Lytechinus pictus: one gene and its partners. The protein of the gene in region 3 binds, or shares a complex with, the protein of the main gene of each other region. Links are inferred from orthologs where the notes say so. Each region holds a gene or a part of one and is shown on either strand. Other genes may lie near its edges. The genes, in order: dynein regulatory complex subunit 3-like, dynein regulatory complex protein 8-like and F-box and leucine-rich repeat protein 13-like.

The links.
Region 1: F-box and leucine-rich repeat protein 13-like (region 3) and dynein regulatory complex subunit 3-like share a complex: the UniProt entries of both Homo sapiens proteins name them as parts of the nexin-dynein regulatory complex. The link is inferred for Lytechinus pictus from reciprocal best matches to the Homo sapiens genes FBXL13 and DRC3.
Region 2: F-box and leucine-rich repeat protein 13-like (region 3) and dynein regulatory complex protein 8-like share a complex: the UniProt entries of both Homo sapiens proteins name them as parts of the nexin-dynein regulatory complex. The link is inferred for Lytechinus pictus from reciprocal best matches to the Homo sapiens genes FBXL13 and DRC8.

Annotation. Positions count from the first base shown.
Region 1 is NC_087254.1:18,111,242-18,118,558, reverse strand, and holds the start of dynein regulatory complex subunit 3-like, read right to left. Parts: upstream 3,023-7,317; 5' UTR 2,933-3,022; intron 2,187-2,932; exon of another isoform or gene 2,136-2,186; intron 391-2,135; 5' UTR 326-390; coding exon 166-325; intron 1-165. UniProt on the Homo sapiens protein: Component of the nexin-dynein regulatory complex (N-DRC) a key regulator of ciliary/flagellar motility which maintains the alignment and integrity of the distal axoneme and regulates microtubule sliding in motile axonemes.
Region 2 is NC_087251.1:23,721,066-23,728,364, forward strand, and holds the start of dynein regulatory complex protein 8-like, read left to right. Parts: upstream 1-4,294; 5' UTR 4,295-4,374; coding exon 4,375-4,405; intron 4,406-5,664; coding exon 5,665-5,749; intron 5,750-6,631; coding exon 6,632-6,784; intron 6,785-7,269; coding exon 7,270-7,299. UniProt on the Homo sapiens protein: Component of the nexin-dynein regulatory complex (N-DRC), a key regulator of ciliary/flagellar motility which maintains the alignment and integrity of the distal axoneme and regulates microtubule sliding in motile axonemes.
Region 3 is NC_087249.1:13,415,037-13,422,290, reverse strand, and holds the start of F-box and leucine-rich repeat protein 13-like, read right to left. Parts: upstream 3,101-7,254; 5' UTR 2,999-3,100; coding exon 2,850-2,998; intron 2,452-2,849; coding exon 2,342-2,451; intron 1,277-2,341; coding exon 1,123-1,276; intron 302-1,122; coding exon 172-301; intron 1-171. Other genes in the region: uncharacterized protein K02A2.6-like, read left to right, coding at 5,764-7,254. UniProt on the Homo sapiens protein: Substrate-recognition component of the SCF (SKP1-CUL1-F-box protein)-type E3 ubiquitin ligase complex.

The DNA of each region.
Region 1 (7,317 bases), on a different chromosome or scaffold from region 3:
AATTATATTTTTATTCAAATTTAGTATACAGATTTGGCATTGTTCAAAGCATAGAACCCCTTTAACATGTTTCCTTACTATTTAAGTCTAGTAGGGACAATAAGATAATTAATTTACATTATTATAGAGTTGGCAATGTTCAAAGCACAGAACACACTTCCTTACTTTTGAAGTCTAATCTGAGCTGTGTTACATCTGTAAAGTCTATTCCTTCAGCCTTGGCTATTCTTCCTGCTTCTTCTTTAGGACCTTGCTCCTCTACAGCTTTCTGAAGCATTATCTCATCCACTACGGATGGTTCCACTGTGTCATACAGCCGGCTCATATTGACGATTCACTTTCTCACAATCAACACCAGAAAATTAATCAACCTAACAGGGTCACAGAGATCTGCAAATAGAAGGCAAAAAAAATTCAATTACTGTGCAAAATGAATAGATGTGCAGACAAAGTCATATGATTATTCAAAAACCAATTCATAAATTACTATGAAATTTGGTAGATGTCTCTTTTGCACACTTTTCATCAAGATCTGAAAAAAATCACAGTTTTATGAAGTTAATTAATTTGGCATGCCATAGTCCATGATCATCTATGGACAAGTTTTATTTTTTGCACTATATCACTAGCTTCTTCTTGACCAGAATATAAGAAAAAATATAATATGAAATAAAGCTTTTTGTGTAATTTTAAGGAAAGACAGGTTTAATCTTCAATCCGCTTTACAGTCAATATTTAGGTGCGCAGACATGCGTCACCAGGGGCAGATTTAGCCTTTGCCAATAGGGGGGGGGGGCCTGAAATTTGTTTTCACCCATATTTTTCCCGATCACCCGCTCAAAATTGATTTTTGTTTGGTTCTTTGAAGGGGTAGTCACTTCTTATCTATATAAAACAACATAAATATATAATAATCTCATAAGCTCTATTTAAATAGTGCGAGCGCGAAGCGCGGGCTATTTTTTTGGGTAAATTACATGTATTTTGTCGTGAAAATTGAATATTCTTGGTAATGTATGTGATCCTGAACAAGATGCGTATGAAACTACATAATTACTGCTAGCGCGAAGCGCGAGCAGAAATTTTTCGTACAGTATACTTTCTGGTCTGATCAAAAAGGGACCTGTTAAGGAATGTTTGCAGTCAGCCATAAATACGATACATATTTCAACAATCAAATAATGCGAGCACGAAGAGCGAGTTGAAAATTTTTGACATCCTGACCTGAACAAATGGACATTCTAAGCACTTTTTGCAATCATGAATAGGATATGTATATAACTAAACAATGCGAGCGCGAAGCGCGAGCGGAAAAAAAAAGAGAGTTAGACCCAAAAGCGGGACACTCTTTATGTTTTGTAAATCATGATAAGGATGGGTAATTTGGGTATTTCCTACATTAATAATGCAAGCGTGAAGCGCTAGTAGAAATTCTTTGGTATTCTGATCTGACACTGGGTAATTTAAGCATGTTTTAAATAAAGAACAAGTCGCGAGTCTCAATAAACATGCGTGCGCAAGTGTTAGACTTAGAATCTTGGCATCCTAAATACATTTTTTATCATGAAAATCAATCATGCGAGCGCGAAGCGCGAGCTGAACATATTTGGTATTCCAATCTGAAAAGTTGTCAATTAAACTCTAATTCAAGCACTGAGTAGGAAAATTGAGAAGTGGATATGCATCGCACTTAATAAATGGTGCGAACGCAAAGCGCGAGCTAAAATTTTTATTAAACTTATTATTATTTTGACCTAGGACTGGGACGTTCTAAGGACATTTTGTCATCATATGGAAAATGATGACTGTCTACCAATTCCTCTTCCTAAGTGCATAATAATGCTTGCTGATATTCCCTTCTGAAAAAAGGGATAATTTAATTATAAGGAAGTCATGAAAATGTTTCTATCTTATTTTTTGATGTAATAAACCTAATGAAATTTGTTGAAATTAAGGCCTGAAAACTGGACTTTTACGCACTTTGTAATTATGAATAGGACGCATGGGCTAATATATATTTTTAATAATTAATGCGATCGCAAATCGCGAGCTAAACTATTTGATAAACTGTCATGAAAAGGGAATTTTAAATAGTTTGTTATTAACACTATAGAGGTACCGGTTACATTACTCACCAATCAAAATGCGACTGAGCAGCGCTAGCTAATAGGTCTTGACAATCAGACCTGTAAAGGAGATATTTTGAGAACTTTATGGAATACACAAAGAGAATAGGTACTTGACGACTGAAATACGAGTGCGAGCTGTAAGTGTTGATACTTAGACAAGAAAACAGACATTACAGAGCACTTTTTGAAAATCAACTTGTAGATCTAACTATAGGCCTAGGCCTAAACTAAATCCAAACAAAATGTGATTATGAGGAAAGCTCGATGTCCGAGCTGAAAAGTGAAATAAGTTTTGCATATTATTATTGACTTCAAAGCTTGATTTTTTAAGCTCCATATTAGCCTATTAATTGAGCAGATATGTACTCCATCGAATATGCAATGTGAGGGCGAGCAAAATTTTTTTTAGACCGTTTGACTTTGAATTTCAGTGACATCGTCATCAATTTTTTTTTTAATTCCTTCCCCTTACCTTAATCACTCATCACCTTCCTGCTTTTTTTTCCCCCTCTTCTTTTCTTTTCTCCTCTCTTCTCCTTTTTTTTTCTCCCTTTCCCCTTTTTTAGCTCCGCCAATTGATTCAATTATTCATCTTGTTCTAGAAAGAATATGGCCGTGGGCCTTACATTTACAAAAATTTCTGCACGTGGGACCGAACTAAAATCTTAATATTTCCATCTATTGATCAACTGAAAATAACCTCAACCGTGATAGACTTTCAGGAATCCAACATATTTCACCGTTCGATAATACTGAGTATTATTACAAAATTGATTCAATATAACTCAAATGTCATAACTTACAGAATTAATAATGCCTAAATCCGACCGGACGGACTGCTTGATGTGGCGTCAATTGTTGTCATGGAGCGATTAAAATGAGCGACCAATAAGTGCGATCGGAATTATGAGCACGCTCGTAGTCGTATGTAAAAACGCGGTCAGATAGCGACTAATACTGTACTATCGAAATGTTTTTTTTGGGGGGGGGGGGGGGCTTGCCTTTTTAGAACTTGAGACTATCATAGTTATCAATGATTTTTATTACGTATTTCATTCATTAAGTCGTTTTTTTGTTTGTTTTCTTAATACAAAATTAATATGATATACATGTATTTTAATATTACAGGGGGCATACACAGTACAAGCAGCTCGATCTGCTTTTTAGTTAACCCCCTCTCCCTATATCAATTCTTCTGATTTCGTTTTGAATATTATTCATTTTACTGTGTTGATCTTTTTACTTGTAATATGATTATATTATGTCATATTAACAGTAGGCTTATCATCATTAAAATATGACTTTTTTACTTTCCACTTTAAGTTGACTTGAGGTATCAAAAATGGACTGGATACTGGATGTAGGCATATTTTCAATTTTCAATTTTTTGACAAGAAAACAAACAGACAATTCCCCCCCCCCCCAAAAAAAAAAACCCCAGAAACAGTCATTTAGTTGTGGACAAGGGGAAGTCTCACAAGGCCCCATTAGCCACCCCTGGCATGAAGTACGAATAGCATCAGGGGCCGCGGAACGGTTTTCAAAGTGGGGGGGGGGGCTGCATGACCATGCAAAAAATCACAATCATGTGGTCATTTTTACGATTTTGTACACGGTTTTGGAAAAAGTGGGGGCTGAAGCCCCCCAGCCCCCCCCCCCCCGCTTCGCGAACCCTGAGCATGAAGAGAAATACCACCCCCCCCCCAAAAAAAAAAAAATATATATATATATATATATAAAATGTAAAAATAAAAATAGACGATGAAACATTTCTTTTTATTTCAGTCTGCCTAAAAAAAATGCATTCAGAATACCCAGTAAATCGGAAACACACGCGCGCATGTTTATTCAGATAGACAGCTTGTTCTCTTTTTAAATCATTATCCAGTTTAAGATCAGAATATCAAAAATTTTTGGCTCGCGCTTTGCGCTCGCATTATGAATGTTGGAAGATCCCCAATTACTTATCATTTTAATGGTTTACAAAGCATGAATAGAGTGTCCCGTTTTTAGGTCTAAATCTCGAATTTTTCCGCATCAATTCTTTGGTTATGTAAAACCTACCTATCCTGTTCACGATTACAAAAAGTGCTTGGAATTTTGGTAGAAATGTCAAAAATTTTCAGCTCGTGCTTTGTGCTCGCATTATTTGATTGTTGAAATTATGTAACGTCTTCATGTTTAATTAACTGCAAGCATGATGTCACTTTTCGATCAGATCAAAACGTATATTTAAAGTTTTTGCTCGCGCTTCGCGCTCGCAGTAATTATTCAGTTGCATACACATCTGTTCAGAATCTTAGGACAGAATAGGGTGCTACATGAAATTTTAAAAGAAATTAGCTCGCGCTCCGATCACGCTCGCACTATCTAAACAAGGAATATGACAGTATAATATATTTATGTTGATTTATAAGAATAAAGCTAAGAAGTGGCTATAAGGCACAAATATAATCAACTACGATCGAGCGGCCGATCGGGGAAAATATGGCTGAAAAATTTTTCGAGACGGCACGGTGGGACGAGACGATTCTCTCCCATAAGCTAACAAACCATTGTAAAGAGCCAAAAAAAAAAGATCTAAATAAATAATTTTTAAAAAGGCAACACAGAAATCCCCAAATTTCAGTCGATAGGAATTACAGTCGAATAGACGTAGGCCCTATTTCACAGACGGCTCGCATTAACAAATACGTTTCATAGGCGGATCCAGGCCCCCCCCCCCTATTGGCGGAGCAAAAAAAAGGGGAAAAAGGGAAAGAAAGAAGAAGAAGGGGAAAGAAAGGAGAACAAAAGAAGAGGAAAAATAAGAGGAGGGAGACGAGTGAATAAAATAAGGTCAGGGAAAGACTTGGAATATAATTTGAAAATATATATTTCATGTGACTTTATAAGATTTTCGCTCGCGCTTCGCGCTCGCATAGCCCGTGTTCGATGTGATACATATCTTGCTCAATAGGCTGATGTGTAGCTAAAATATCAAGTTTTTTTAAGTCAATACATTTTTTCAGCTCGGACATCGAGCTTTTATTATTATTTTTTATTTAAAAATTGATTTTTTTTTAAGTGCTCTGTGAAATGCCTGTTTTATGGTGTAATTTTCATTTGCAGCTTTTTGCGCTGTGCGCTCGCATTATTTGCTTTGCCAAGTAGGCCTACATATTGTCTTTGTGTATTCCATAAGATCCTTTATAAATATATCAATTCTATAACAAACTACTCAAAATCCCCCTTTTACGACAGTTTAAAAAAAATAGTCTCGCGCTTTGCGCTCGCATTAGTAGTTAAAAATATATCAACTCATAAATCCTATTCATGCTTACAAAAGTGCTTGAAATATTCAGTCTTCTGGCCTCTAATATCAACAAATTTTTACTCACTAATTAGGCTTATTATATTAATAAATATGATAATAAAATTTTAATGAATTCCTAATAACTAAATTGTCCCTTGTTTCAGAAAGGAATTTCGACAAGTTTCATATCGCGCTTAGGAAGAGGAATATGAAGATAGTCATCATTTTCATATGATGACAAAATGTCCTTAGGCTTAGAATGTCCAGGTCCTAGGTCAGAATAATAATAAAAATATCAGCTATAGCGCTCCGCACTCGCATCATTTATTAAGTGTTATCCACATATACTTCACAATTTCCCTGCACAGTGCTTTAGATAGTATTTAAATTCACCCTTTTTATATCGGAATATCAAATATTTTCCACTCGCGCTTCGCGATCACATTATCAATTTTCATGATAAAAATTAAATGTATTCAGAATGCTCAGATTCTGTCTAACTCTAAAACAGGCGCACACATGTTTATTGAGATATGCAGCTTGATCTTTATTCAAAACGTGCTAAAATTATCCAGTTTGCGCTCGCATTATTAATGTAAGAACTTCTTTTTTCATGATTTAGAAAAAATGAATAGAGTGTCCCATTTTTAGGTCTGAAATATCTTTTTTTCGCTCGCGCTTTGCGCTCGCATCAATTGTTTAGTTTTTTTTCACCAATGCCGTTTATTTTAAAAAGAGCTTAGAATGTCAATTTTATAGCTCGCAATGTCAAAACATTTTCAGCTCGCGCTTCGCTCTCGCATTATCTAAATGTTGAAATATGTATCGTCTTAATGGCTAACTGCAAATCGGTCTTAACAGGTCCTTTTTCGATCAAGCCAGAACCAATTTTGAAAATTTCTGCTCGGGCTTCGCTATCGCAGTAATTATCTAGTTACATACGCATCTTGTTCAGGTTCACAAACATTGCCCAGAATATTCAATTTTCAGGACAAAATACATGAAATTTCAGCTCGCGCTTTGCGCTTGTATTATTCAAATAGGGCTGAAGAGATTATTACATTTTTATGTTGTTTTATAAAAATAAAGCTAAGAAATGACTGTTAGGATATCGGCGTTTTGCCCCCCCCCCCAATTGTTCACGACCAAGAAAAATGGGGAGAAAAGAAAAGGGATAAGTGATATATATGCCTATATTTGTCAAATGTTATGTCAAAAATCTATCACAAACTTTGATTTTTGTAATCAAAATGTCAAAATTTTTGCTCGCTCGCTCGCAACTTCTCATTAATTTTACACAATATGCCGTATCAAGCCCCTCAAAACTGGCTCATTACGCCACCGAGACAACCCCTTCAAAGAAACAAACAAAAATCAACATTGAGCGGCCGATCGGGGAAAATATGGGTGAAAAAAATTTCGGCCCCCCCCCCCCTATTGGCGGGAGCTGGATCAGCCCCTGAGTTTAGCCTTTAAATTGAAGGCAGTATCCTTAAAAGATATTAGGCCACCGCCATGAAACGAAAATGAGTAGTTAATGACTAGATCTGATCAAATTCATCTTCAAAATGGGAGGTCCTTTTTTTCCTCCTCTTTTTAAAATATTTTTTGTATTTTTAGTACCCTATTTAGCGTTATGTTATTATATCAACGTTTTCTAACGTTTCGGAATTGTGGAAATGAAATGAAACTTGCGATCCGTTGCTCCCCCCAAGTGTTGGGCGCTGCCCACTGATCTGTATAGGCCTACTATTCAGATATCAGTGGTGCTCAGTGCTTCCACTTTTCAAAACGGAACTTCCTGGAATTTACTCGAAAAGTACCGTACTTGCAATTTTACAAAATATCCTGCAATTTTTCGAATGTTCTCCAGTCTTTAATAAGTCATAATTC
Region 2 (7,299 bases), on a different chromosome or scaffold from region 3:
AAAAGTAGACTAAGTGGATTAGACCATTTGCCTTTAGACCAGTTGGCTATCGTGGAGCGTTGTGGCCTATAAAAGTGGATTAGTCTTCGGACTTTGAAACAGAGGGTCGTGGGTTCGAATCCCAGCCATGGCGTAATTTCCTTCGGCAAGAAATTCATCCACATTGTGCTGCACTCGACCCAGGTGAGGTGAATGGGTACCCGGCAGGATTTATTCCTTGAACGCTTTATCGCCTATTAATATGGCGGCTTAGTTATCATAATATTATACCAAGTATCAAAGCGCAGTTGAGTATATGCACATAGTAACTGCGCTATATAAATGGACATATTAGTATTATTATTATTATTATTGGACTAAATGGTAATAGACGTAATAAAAATGGACAAAGTGGCTATTGGGCCAATTGGCAAAAATGCAATAGACCAAATGGCTATTAGACCAATCGATAATAGACGAAATGGTTATTAGACCAACTGGCTATTGGACTAAATGGTAAATGGACGAAATGGTAATGGATAGTGGACCAACTGATGGTAGACGAAATGACATTAGACCATTTGGCAGTATATGGCAATAAACCGCCACTGCTGGATGGTAGCGGGGATCGGACGGGGAGGGATGCTGCATGCATATACCATACACAGTAAAAAAAAATAGCACGTTGTTTAAGCCTGTCACTCTAACAACAGGTTGTATAAACTTTTCTGTAATTTACTCTTTAAACAACTTGTTTAAAAAGTTTCAACAGCTGTTTAAAAAGTTTAAACGGTAGTTGTTAGAGTGACAGGCTTAAACAACTTGCTTAAAATTTTAAACAGCGTTTTTACAGTGTATACAGCACCTCCCAGACCGGGTTGACAAATAGGCAAAACAAATATTAATAATAATAATAAATGGTTATTACTCCCCAAAATAATGAGGGAGATTTGTAAACAATAACCCCCCCCTTTTTTGTTGGGGGGGGTGGCTTGTCGGAATTCTTTCTGACGACAAAACTCCAGCAATTGTACCCCAGTGACTGGTCGCCATTAATTTCCAACAAACAACAACCCAGTATTAAAAAATCTTTCACAGGGCCCTGAACGGCGTACACACCTGTTCTGATTTGTTCATTTTTTGTTTTTTTTTTCATATGATTTGGGGTAAAGTTTTTTTTTCGATTAAGGAAAAAGTGAAACGAACATTGATTTGGTAGTTGACAGTCATAATTTAGGTGCCAACCGAGATACAAATTAAACCAATTATCATAATACACAACAGCTGTGTATAATAGCTGCATGTATACACTTGATTGGGGGTTTGTGCATGTCTTGCAGGGACGGATCCAGCCTTTGCCAATAGGGAGGGGGGCGGACATTTTCTCAGCCATATTTTCCCCGATCGGCCGCTCGAAGATGATTTTTTGTTTATTTGAAGTGGTAGTCCTAATAGTCACTTCTTAGCTTTATTCTTATAAATCAACATAAAAAAAATAATATCATAATCCTTATTTATACAGTGCGTATAAAAAAAAGTTTACACTTAGAAAAAATCCTGTAAAATTATACATTTGTAATATCCTGAAGATTTTTCCACATTTTAACATTGGTACAGATCCATTTAAGCAAATTACGAACTGTCGAAAAATATTTCCGCTTGAGTGAGCACCACTTACTTTTGAAAAGTTAGTGAAAAATGATTTGCGCAGAACTTTAAAATTAGTTATGCGAATAAAAGTAGACCTTAATCATGAATAACACATTAAATTTAGCTAGTAAAATTGATTTGAAGATATCTTTTACCTTTTTTAACTTGTTTCCTTGCCCAAAACACTTTGAAGAGTGCATTGCGCCCCAACCTAATCCCCCACACACCCTTAAGGCCATCGTGACGATATTTGCTTTACACTGAGCTGTGATTTACTTGAAATGGCGTAGGCTTGAATTTCATTTTGTTAATCATTGTAAAGCTTGCAAAAAGTGTGGAGAAACAAGTATTAAATGAAAAATGAAATGTAAACCCACTTTAAATGATAAAAACTTAGTGAAAAAATGCTGGAGATGTCTGATATAAACTTTTGTTCAGATTCAGTTATTTCCTCAGATCCAGCTGGCACAAAAAGGGTAAAGGTTGTGCTTACTAAGTGTTGAAATTTCAATTTGGGTGGCAAAATTGTTACAAAATGCTTAAATGTATCCCTTTTATTTCAATTACTAAAAGTGCAAGGGAAATGTATGAGAAATATTTCGCAGGTTAAGTTTGATTTCGCCCTTTCCCCTTGACACAGCGTGAAAATGAGCATGTCTGCGCAAACAGATTTCTGCGAGCTTTACACAAATGGACAGTGTTCACTCAAGTGTAACATTCTGTCAAAATGTTTACTTTCATTGGATAGATGAGACCCAAACCCAAGAATATTTGTGAAAAAAATACCCACATGTTGTATATTTTTTTAATTCCCAGGGCTTTTTCAAAGTGTAAACTTTTTTTTGATACGCACTGCAATGCGAGCGCGAGCTAATTTTTATTTCATTTTATGTATTTTGTGACAAAATTTGAACATTCTGGGCAATAGTGAATAAAGAAGCTTTAATCGGAGGTAATAATAATTTGTAAACAAATTTTCGGCATTTTAGCTCCCATGTGTTCAAGATCGCATGCTCGATCTGTAATGAAAATCATAAGTCAGAAAAAATTGGAACCAGTGCATGGGATTCGAACCTGTCATCTACTGCTTGCCGGGCAGCGACTCAACCACCAGGCTATTCTGGTTCACGGCTAAGTAACGATGAACTGGAATTAAAATACCCTCTATCCTCTTCTTCTGACTCATTAATATTTTTTAATTATTTATTTTCTGACTCATTAATATGCAAATGCATTTACTATCTATTGTCCCCGGCGGACGGCATTTGCATATTAATGAGTCAGAAAAAAGAGGACAGAGGGTATTTGTATTCCAGTTCATTAACAATCAAAATAATGCGAGCGCGAAGCGTGAGCTATACCTAAAGAACGGAAATTCTAAGCACTTTTTGTAATTTAAACAGTGAAGATTATTGATGCAAGCGCGAAGCGCGAACGGAAAATTTCGAGATTAGACCTAAAAACGAGACACTCTATTCATGTTTTGTAAATCATGAAAAGGATGAGTATATAATTGGGGATCTTACCTTAAAGGGATGGTCCGGGCTGAAAGTATTTATACCTTAATTAATAAAATATAAGTCACTGAGCAAAATGCCGAAAATTTCATCAAAATCGGATAAAAAAAAACAAAGTTATTAAATTTTAAAGTTAAGCAATATTTTGTGAAAACAATCGTCATGAATATTCATTATGTGGGCTGATGATGTCAAATCCCCACTTGTTCTTTTGTATTTTATTATATGAAATTAGGTTTATTCAATTTTTTTTCCTCCAAGAACTAGAAAAATTGGATTGACAACTGATTTAGTGCATTAGATATTTATTGCTACAACTTATTTCATTATAAGGGAGATATATTATTCACACAAGTATGAAATAATGAAAAAATATTATTTTATGTATATAACATAAGAAAACGGAAAGTGGAGATGTGACATCATCAGCCCAGCTAATGAATATTCATGACGACTGTTTTCACAAAATTGCTAAACTTTAAAATTCAATAACTTAATTATTTGTTATCCGACTTTGATGAAATTTTCGGCATTTTGCTCAGAGAATTCTACTCTCTGTATTAAGATATAAATATTTTCAGCCCGGACCATCCCTTTAAGAAAATTGATCATTATTCTGTTATATTTTCATTCCAAATTATTCCGATCTATGGCTGTTGGACCATACGAAGTGAATTCTACTCATAGAGATATATACTACATCTCTATGATTCTACTCTATGTATTAACATATAAATATTTTCAGCACGGACCATCCCTTTAATAATTTGAGCGCAAAGCGCGAGCATAAAATGTTTATATATGTTTTGAACTGATATTGAAAAGGTAAAGAATGGAAAATTTTAATCGATTTTTTTAATGGTGAACAAGATAGCTATGTAACTGAACATTGATGCGAGCCCCCCCCCCACCCCCTGGATCCGCCTATGTTATAAACATTTTATCTTTCCTTATATTTTTTCTTCTTTACTTTTATATTTTTTACTTACATAGCAAAGCAGAAAGGGAGGTACGCAACTACGCACTGAGAAAACAAATTTCAAAAACAAAAACAAAACAGGACAAAAAAAACCCCAAAACAACACTTTTATTTGCTAGTCTTGTGTGAAAACTCACTGGTTGATCAAAGATTTAATCAGAGTCTGTGCATGCAGACTAGTTTGCCGGTACGGTAGCAACACATGCATATGATGTATATGTAAACAATCTCTCGATCGGCTAGCTCAAAATGGCACAGGCAGAAGAAAAAGAAAGTGCTGGTAAATATCGTTTACTTTTAGCTTGGTCATCTATATTTCTAACATAATGAACTTTGAAAATTATTTTGGGAATTGGTAGAAAGAAAAATGTCGTTACCCACGTATATCTGTAATGAAGTAAATTTAAAAACTTGCAATTGATTTCTCGTCGTGTTTGGAAACTGGCATGGCTCAGCTCAGGAGCGAGCCGCTCTCACGTACCGTACCGCCAACTAGCCCGTACCCCTATACCCAGCCGCGGCTGGCTGTCCGCTAGGCTTCTTACCACTTTACTGCGGCAGCTGGCAGCCCATGGCTAGCCACCGCACCAAGCAAGGCCAAGGGTAGACCAAAAGCTTCGGTCTCTGTTATGTTGGTTGTTCCGCTGAACTCCGTTGGCTCCACTCACCAATTACAGAGACCGAAGTTCTAACTCGATCTGTACAGGGACTCAATCAATGGCCATATTTGGCATAGGCTATATCATATGTTTATGTATTAAATTCGGATATACCAGGTCCAGGAAAGTGAAGTTGCGCGACAGCCGAAGTAAGTCACTGTTTTGTGTCCTTTTAAATTTATTTTCCCCGTTTTGGTGCATTTAAGGCCAAACAGAATAATAATCTTTATTTTGGTCCAGTTCTTTTCATATTTTATGAAATAAAGACAAAAATCGATGAGCACCATCGGGGGGGATTTTGCATTTTTAACCCCCTAATGGCAGCTGCACGATCGCGAGCCGTCTGTGTATGAGGAGAAATTTTAAAAAATGTTTTAAACTCCTCGAAGCAGACAGCTGCCAGCTGTCTATACTGTATACAAATGTATGACTTATATGACGGGTATATGATAGCCTGGAATTTCATTCCATATCATTATATACTTAGATCTTTAAAAAAAGTTTTATATGAAAGAACCAAATTCCGATCCATATGTTTATTTGATCGGACACCTATAAATAAAAATAAATTTTCCTTAAAAATAGCAAAATCCACAAAAATATTTTTTTCCCATATCACTGTTATCAGTTTGTGCACGGTAACTTGGGGTATAGTGCCCCAAAATAGAGCAATGAGAGAAAAATGTGATGACTGGTGCTCCTAAAGTTTAATATTTGAAGAAGTTGATCAAATAGGATTTCAAATTGTTGATTTGTTGAATGAATCAAGATGGGGATACCCCTATATACTGTCATTTATTGGGATTGAGCAAACTTGTACATTTAAATAAAGTTACAGGTAGATTTTCGCTAAGTAATATTTTTAATAACTTTAACACAGAATCACTGCTTGCGGATATTCAGAAGAAAATTACAGATGCATTTGATATCTTCGACCATGAGTCTAATAAGACTGTTGATGTTAGGTGAGTAAATGATTAAATATTGATTGAATCGAATATGATAATTGGGTAATGTTTGTAGCTTGTGGGTGGTATAGTTTCCTGTTTTAGTTTCATATATTTTCTCTTTATGTTGGGCAATCTTTTTGGACTAAATTCTTTCACTAAAGTAAAAAAACCTTTTTTCAAAGTACCATATTTCTCATTGATACATGTATGCTCAGGTGGACCTTGATTTGATGTTTCCTGAAAATTTTGTTTGGCTTTTGGGAATCTTTTTTAAGGTAGGGTAGTTAGTTGTACAAACCAATAAGCTTGGAAAGAGTGGTCTGAATTGGAAGCCTTACAGTCCTGACTGGACTTACGTATCAAAGGCCCGAATTCAGAACTTAGAACTTCTTTGCTTGGCTTTATAATGGCAACCAGTCAGAAATGATTTCTAATAGCTTCTTTTATATTCTTTTAGATTTTTCCCCCTTATTTTTTTTTCCAAGATGTATTTGCAGTGCTAGACTTGTCCCAAGACCCTCTTTTTTATTCAAGATTTATTCAGGGTCTATGCCTGCAGACAGGAGTAATGATACCTTCCTCTTATTTTTACTATTATTGAGTTAGGTTGAACAGTAATAGACAGAAGTATTGGCTGAAAGCGTAGGATATATAATAAAGTTGTGCAACCATAAGTGAAAACAGTTTTTTATTAGAAACTAAGATGTAGAACAGGATACTCATCCTACAATTAATCATGTATGCTAATAATGATATTAATTTTAATTGAGAAACCATATAAATTCACATTCAACTTTCCAAGTTGCTGTAGTTGTCATATTTACACTTGCGATTATCTTAATTACTGCATGTGATGTTGTTAATGTGATTGTTTTTTTTTTTCTTCATGTGTTACAGGGAGATTGGGACCATTATCAGGTCATTAGGTTGCTGTCCTAGTGAAGGTGAACTCCATGATCTTTTGTCTGAGATGGAAGAGGAGGAGCCCACAGGATACATCAAGTATGATCGTTACAAGCCAATCATGCGAGAAGTTCTCATGGAACGCAAGTAAGTTAAATGAGAGTGGAAGTATAGATGAGATGGATGACAATCTGGGTTGCAGGTGCATCAGTGCTCTTTATATCCTAACTTTACTCATCATTAAATCAGAATGTAAATTGTTAACTGACTGACATTCTCCTCCTCTTTCTTACTTATTGTCACTATCTAAACAATTGTATTAATGTCATCATCAAGATCATCAGGTCAGGTGTATCTTGCTATAATCTGAATACATTTATCATTTTTACCCCTAACTGCTATATCTTTTGATGGAAATTTTTGTATGACAATGTTTTCTAGCAAAAAGAATCAATGTAAAAGATAAACGTTATAAATTGTTTTGATGATGCTCCTTCTATAGTGTTTAAAAAGTTCAAGTATTAGAGAGAAAGATAACAGATGGGAATGACAGGGGATGTCATCATGTGTTGGGCAGTGTTTCATTTTCATATTTCGTCTTATTTTTATTTTTTGAAAATGTTTCTTTGAAGATTCAAGCCATCCCCTGAGGATCAGCTTGT
Region 3 (7,254 bases):
ACTTTAGGCGTTTCCGGGGCGAATTCGCCCATCGCCCCCATGTATTTTTTTGCTGGGGGGGGGGGGGGGGTTGGAGGTGGAAGCTGTTCCCCCCCCTCCCGGCTGTAATGTGGGTCAAAATAACCCAGCTCTAATAGGTTTTAGACCCAAGACCCAAAATATATAACATACCTGAGGACACCCTGACATATCAAGATAGACTAATCTCCTTCCTCCTTTGCCAGTCCCAAGATATTGAAGCCCTTTGTCACTGTAACGTTTGCAATATGCAAGGCTCAAGTACTGTAGGTTGCTGCAGCACCTATATAAACAAGTCATTGTAAAAACGTAATTATAGTAATTATAATTGCTATTAAATATCGTGCTTAACACTTACTTTATCAGAAGCCTCTAAGCACTCTACAGTTAAAATGCAGCATAACCCAGGCTTTAGCAGAGCAGCTGTTATGTGCACTGCATCCAAAGGAAAAAACTCCTGCCAGGTGCCCATTTACCTCACCTGGGTTGAGTGCAGCACATTGTGGATCAATTTCTTGCTGAAGGTAATTACGCCATGGCTGGGAACTGAACACTCTACCCTCTGTTTCAAAGTCCGGAGAATAATCCACTGTGCCACAACGTTCCACATATAATTGTCAAACCTGATACATACTACGCATTTTTCAGAGTTAGATAAATAATGCAGTTGACTGAATGCTTTAAAATCTTTTGATGAATGAAACAATTTTAGTCCTGCAACCAAATCTACTTTTGGGGCCCAACCACGTTTTGACATTCATAGTCTTGTGTGTTTCAAAGGATTATGATTGCTTACACATATTTTTTAAATAATATTATGCAATACGAGATATGGCTGCCTTTGCCTTTTAAAATGTATAATTTAGAAGCATTCATGTCCTTTGGTTAAGGCTTTTTATTTACATTTTCAACTCTCCACCCAGGTGTAGAAAATCAGTACCTGGGAGGAAGGAATTCCTTGAATGCTCAAAAGGGGGCAAACATTGCATTAAAGCGAGTAGTCTTGCAAATATCAAGACAGAAATAAATCAAGGCATGAATTATACACATATACATGTAGATGTATTTACCTATTTACCTATGACAAATAAAGAACACATTTACCTGGCTAATAATCTCAGTGTAGCATCTGTGATGTTGGTGAAGGAGACATTGAGATAAAGTAAGACAGAACAACCTTCGGCTACATACTTCATAGTATCATCATTCAGTCCTGGACATTCTGATAAGTTTAAATCCTGCAAGTTACGACATTGACCTGCAAAAAGAGAATACATACTTGATATCAATAGGAAATGGGGAAGGGCATTGCAAAATGTATTCCAGAGTCTTCAAGCTTCTCAGGACACAAACATATACATTTTTTATTAATAAATAAAATTGTAGTATAGTAGTGTAAACAGAAAAAGAAACATCATACAAATTATACAGTGTACAACAAAAACAAATATTTTTGTTGAATAGTTACAGAATGATAGTGAGTTATTATACAATTAGTTATAAATTATACAACTCATACAAAGATTTTTGTTATTTGATTATTTTTTAAGTTGCGCTTTGTATCCTCTAGTGGTTTTGACTCTTTATGTTTCAATCTGAGGGATGTGGGTTCGATTACAAGCCATGTCATGTTTCCTTCAGCAAGAAATTTACCCACAATGTGCTGCACTCAACCCAAATGAGGTGAATGGGTACCCATTAGGAAGAGCTTCCTCAAATGCTTGAGTGCCTAGACAGCCCAGCTAAGGCCGGGGCAATAATAATAGCAGGGCCCGCTGGGAGAACAGTTTTCAGAATTGTAGTGGCTACCCAGGGTAACCATGCTGTTAGTGGTAAGAATCCAGCTATTAATATACAAATAGCGAATAGGCATGAGTGCAATGGTGCGAAATTTCACATGAGGTGAAAGAAAGATCCTCTATTCAACGAGGCATTAGCCTGAGTTGAATAGAGCGTCTCTTTCTTTCACCGAATGCGAAATCTCGCACCATTGCACGAATACGAATATTCGCTATTTGTGTTGTTTAAAGCCTCAGAATGAAAAGGGAGCAAAATTATTAAAAAGCGAAAAGCAAAATCCCACAAGCGCACGTGACCTTGGGCAGCATTGCGCATTTAGCCAGCAGGCTATACGTGTATTGCACCTTAATTTTTACTGAGCGCAATGAATTAAATCGTATTGTGACGTCAACTCCTAAAGCCGTGCAACGGTACATTTTGGATGGTACGTCATGTGTGCAACTGTAAGAATGTTTGACATTCAGCCTCCCATTTGCTCGCGTACAACAAGCTAAGTAGGCGTTGTACGATAGTAAATGCTTACCAATGGCTTTGAAGCTTGGTTTGGTGAGCATTTTGCATCCTTTGATGTTGAGATGAACAACATAGGGCCTGTAATGCTGAAGGAGACTTGTCACTACATTGTCAGTCACACTGCCAAGGGAGAACATTGAATTTAAATAGAAACAAAATCTTTAAAGAAGACAGGAAAACAGAATCCCAACATTTGGCAAATAATATATGTTTACACACCATTGAGCTTCTATAGCTCGGCTCCAGCCTGGCAAAAGAGTCCATCTGCAAATTCGCCCCCGTAAAAAACTTTTTGAGAAAATCAGTTTTTAAGTTTGAGCATTTAATCTACTTACAGAACAATTGAGAGTTAATTTTAGCTGTTGGACTCTATTCTATCACTTAGTTTACCTTTGGAAGATTATCATTATTATTATTATTATTATACCCTTGCTCACCAGAATTGTGTAAAGGCTTTGAAGCTGTGATAAACAAACAATAAACAAAAAACAAAGAAACAAACAAACAAACACACTTACATGTTCTTTGTCTTTGACAGGTCAACCTGTGAGGAAAAAATTAAAAGAGGGAAAGTAATGAACTTACAAAATAAATTTAAGGTGACAGGTGCCCTAATTTTTTTTTTTTTTAATGATTTTATTTTTTTGGTCTCCTTTGCTAGTTTCATGTGTGTACTTCATCATGCAACTTGTTTTATCTCAATATTCTACCTCTTTTTTTAATAAGAGGGGGGTTAAAACATATTTTCATAAAATTCTCAAACCGGAAGTAGTATTTTACACACCGGAAGTGATTAAATCTGTCCCCAAAACCTTTGATACTGCCTTAAAAAAAATCAGAAAATCCCCAGATTTTTTTTGGCTGAAGCCCCAGATATTCCATGTAGCAAAGTGGACTACCACCCTCTGTTGGCCAAATAGGGAGAGCTACTGTATTGCACAATATGGCAGCGACTACAAGTTACATACACTATGTGACAGACTTGGCGCGTTACAAATGTCCGTTATTATTAGTATTATAGCCCTTTCTTTATCGTGATATTATACAAAATTGAGGTTTTTTTAATGAAAAATGTAATAACTCGAGTTCTAATCATTGGATTTGCATGAAATTTTGTAGAATTGTGTATCTTGAAGAGTACAACAAAATAATGATAGTTTTTGTGCATGGTACCCCCACAGGTGGAGTTGTGTATAAAAGTCCTTTCTGAATTTCTCATTATCTGACTGCTTGTTTAATCCATAATTTTTACAATTCTACTCTGAATATTTCTTAAAGCCATCATAAATTCATCACAAAGAAGTCAGAGAATTAAATTAATCCATCAAAACTTAAATTACACTCTATGTTGTGAAGTTATAACCATAGAAAGTTCATATAGAGAAAAATCATGATTTTTAAAGTCATGACTTTGAATGACCATATTTTGCTTATGCATAAAGCTAATATGCCACAGTGCAAATTTTTGTGTAGATCAGCTCATAAGCTTTCCAAAAATATATAGTTTGTTGGGGTACAGGTACTTAGTAAGAATCCTATGCTTGATTATATACCCGTAGTCGTTTCCGCACGGTAATAGGGCACCTGGCACCTTAACTTTAACAAAGGCACCAAACTTTGAATACTACTTATACTCTGGCATTTCCCTTTTGTACAGTACTTGTAGTAACTTAGGATCTCTTTGTTGACTTCATTTACATCAATATTTGTAGTTAAAAAAAACATATAGGAAGCTGTTCTTCTGAGTATGTTACAAATTGGCAACGAGGATGCTCAGAAAAGAGTCTACGAAAGCCTTAAAGTCTTCATTTTGCTGGTCAAGGGACTGCTAATCTGTGAGACGAAAGTTTGATCCTAATTTTGAGGTCATAAAGTGACATTTTCTGGTTAAAGTTGAATTAAGAAGGGGGTGAGTTTCCATAAATATAGGTTCTACATACAATATATAGTATATATAAGTTGTTCAAACAGATAGCATGTCACAAAAATCCTCTGCCTTCTCGATATTTTGCTTTGAAAGTCTATGAAATTAGCCACCTGTCAGAGCCCGAGAGACGAGTGTACAGAAAAGTCACTCGGAGTGTGACGTCACCGGGGGGAATTTAGTATAAGAGGTGCCTGAATGTCATACAGAAATGCTATGCAGAGAGAGAAAGATATTTTACAAATTTTTTTCAAAGCAACTCAAATCAAACAAATATGACTGATATGTACAAATCTTTACTTTCCCTGTATAAAAAACAGTATGAATAACCACCATGAACTCTTCAATCATGATGTAAGATAGCAAACAGTGAGTTATTGAATGATATTTTCATTATTTCTCATTTATTTTATCACGATGTTCAATCAAGTGAGTAGCTGGAAAGTAATTCCGGCGGCGAGCTCAGCGCGCGCTGAACGCATAATACTAGTACACACAACACCCAGCTAGGCATTGAGTGTACTGTTATGGTCTGGTATGTCGACTTAGTTCATGGCCGTGCAGCGATCCCCTGGCGTTTTTTCTTCTTTTCTTTTGTCTTTAATTGACTCCACTTTTATATCCTCTGGATCATTTCCACTCATAGCTCATTCCACAGAACAATCTTGAACCAAACGTATAGTATTCTTTCTCGGCCTTCTGGGTTGTTTTCTATATTTAATTACGCTAGGGGTCACCGTCACACATACAAACGCAATTCGCAAGTGAGTTGAAGACAGAAAGATATATATAGTAATTAGTATACATCTCTATGGTTGAAGACAACAAGAACGGTGCGGTCGCTCGACAGCTAGCTGCGCCGGAGCGGGCGGCCGGTCGGCACAAAGCAATTCCGCAACCAACTGTGTTTTTTTTTTCAAGAGCCGCGTCACACGCGGATAAATATGTCATAATAACACGTCTGCTACGTTATCGACTGGTGAGAAGATCTCGATCAAATTTCATATTATTCACCTTGAAATTATTCCTTTAGGGTCTATGGTATCATTCTGAGGGAATTCACATATTTGGAATAATAGTACGGCCACAAATATTTTAATCATTTCCTCTTTGCAAGTTCTATGGCTCGCAGATACAACTTCAACTGCAGTTATTCCATATGAAGGAGTACGTGCATAGTACACAAAACGGCACTGCTTTACCCCCCGGTGACGTCACACTCAAAGAACACCCGTCTCGGTAGGCATTGCAGGAGCGAACTCAGGGAAAATGGGTAGGGATAAATCGTTCAAATTCACTATTTTGAAAAAAGAAAATGGGGGGTCGAATCACCTATTAGTGTTTGGGGGGTTGTAAGGTTGCTATTAATGTAAATATCTCAATATTTGGAATCGTCTTCTTAATTCAACTTTAAAGTTACCGTCGTACAGTTGATGGAACTAGGAAGGAAGTCTTCGTGTATTCGCACATGGTATTCGCACGTGTATTCAGTCAATGCGTGATACAACATGGCGACGCCCAGTGGCTATATCGGACGGCTAGGGAGCTTTGAGAAGGCTCGCGAACCTTTTACTTCATATGTCGAACGTATGGAACTGTTTTTCATGGCCAATAACATCGTTGAAACTTCCCAGAATGCTGAATTCGTGAAGGAACGGAAAAAGGCAATTTTACTAACTGAAATTGGAACAGAAATCTACGTAACCCTCGCAAATTTGTTAGCGCCTAGCAAGCCGAAAGATGCAACATTTGACGACATCATCGATAAGTTGAAGAATCATTTCGATCCTAAGCCGTTAGAGATAGCTGAAAGTTACAAGTTTGGAACAAGAAATCAGAAACAAGGTGAAACAGTTGGTGAGTTCATCATTGCCTTAAAGAATTTATCCTTACATTGTAATTATGGATCTTTCTTGAATAGAGCTTTGCGAGACAGATTTGTTTGCGGGTTGGCTGATGAACAAATTCAGAACAAACTGTTGAATACTCAAGATTTAGATTTTGATAAAGCCTGCCAAATTGCGTTGTCGATGGAGATGGCATCAATAAATGCTCGTGAACTTCGTTCTGTTCATAATGCTGGAAGTGTGAATAGTCAGAAAAGTTACACCCGTAAAGCTAAACCAACTAGTCGTGGAGGTAAACCCAAACCCTCTAATGCTGAAAGTAAAAAGCATGGAAACTGTTATCGCTGTAATTCCAGAAATCATCCACCTCAAGAATGTCCAATTAAAGGTTCACAATGTTTCAAGTGCGAGATGAAGGGACATATAGCTAAAGCTTGTAAGTCAAATAGAGGAAAGACTAGTGTACCGAGTAAAGGTAAATCGCGTCGAACTGGCGGTAATGCTGAAGTTCATGCGTTGGATGAAACTGATGATCTAGAGAAATCTATGCAACATAATTCGAATTTGTATTGTGTGTATGCTACAGATTCGATCAATAAGTTTGAAACAGAAGTTGTAATCAACAAGAAATCCTTGACTATGAGGATTGACACCCAGGCAGATTGTTCTATTATGAGTAAGGACACATATGAGAGAAACTTCAGTGATGTACCTTTGAGACCAAATTCATTAGAACTCAGAACATATTCTGGTCAGCAGTTGGACTTGTGTGGTGAATTTGAATGTGAAGTCACCTATGAAGGGAATAAATTGTTGTTGCCCATGATGGTAACAAGCTACACGAATCGTCCTACACTGATGGGTAAGAACTGGCTGACTAAGTTGAAGTTAGATTGGAATAACGTGTTCCATGTTGAGTCTTCAAAATTGCAGAGTCTACTCCGACAGTATAGCGGAATGTTTGAAGACAGCTATGAAGGGATTTCTGGTGTGGAAGCGCATGTAAGAATCAAGGAGAATTCAACTCCAGTCTACTGTAGACCGCGACCAGTACCGTACGCACTGAAAGAAGAAGTTGAGAAAGAGTTAAGAAACCTTGAGAAAAACAAAGTCATCGTAAAGACAGACTACAGCGACTGGGCAACTCCGATC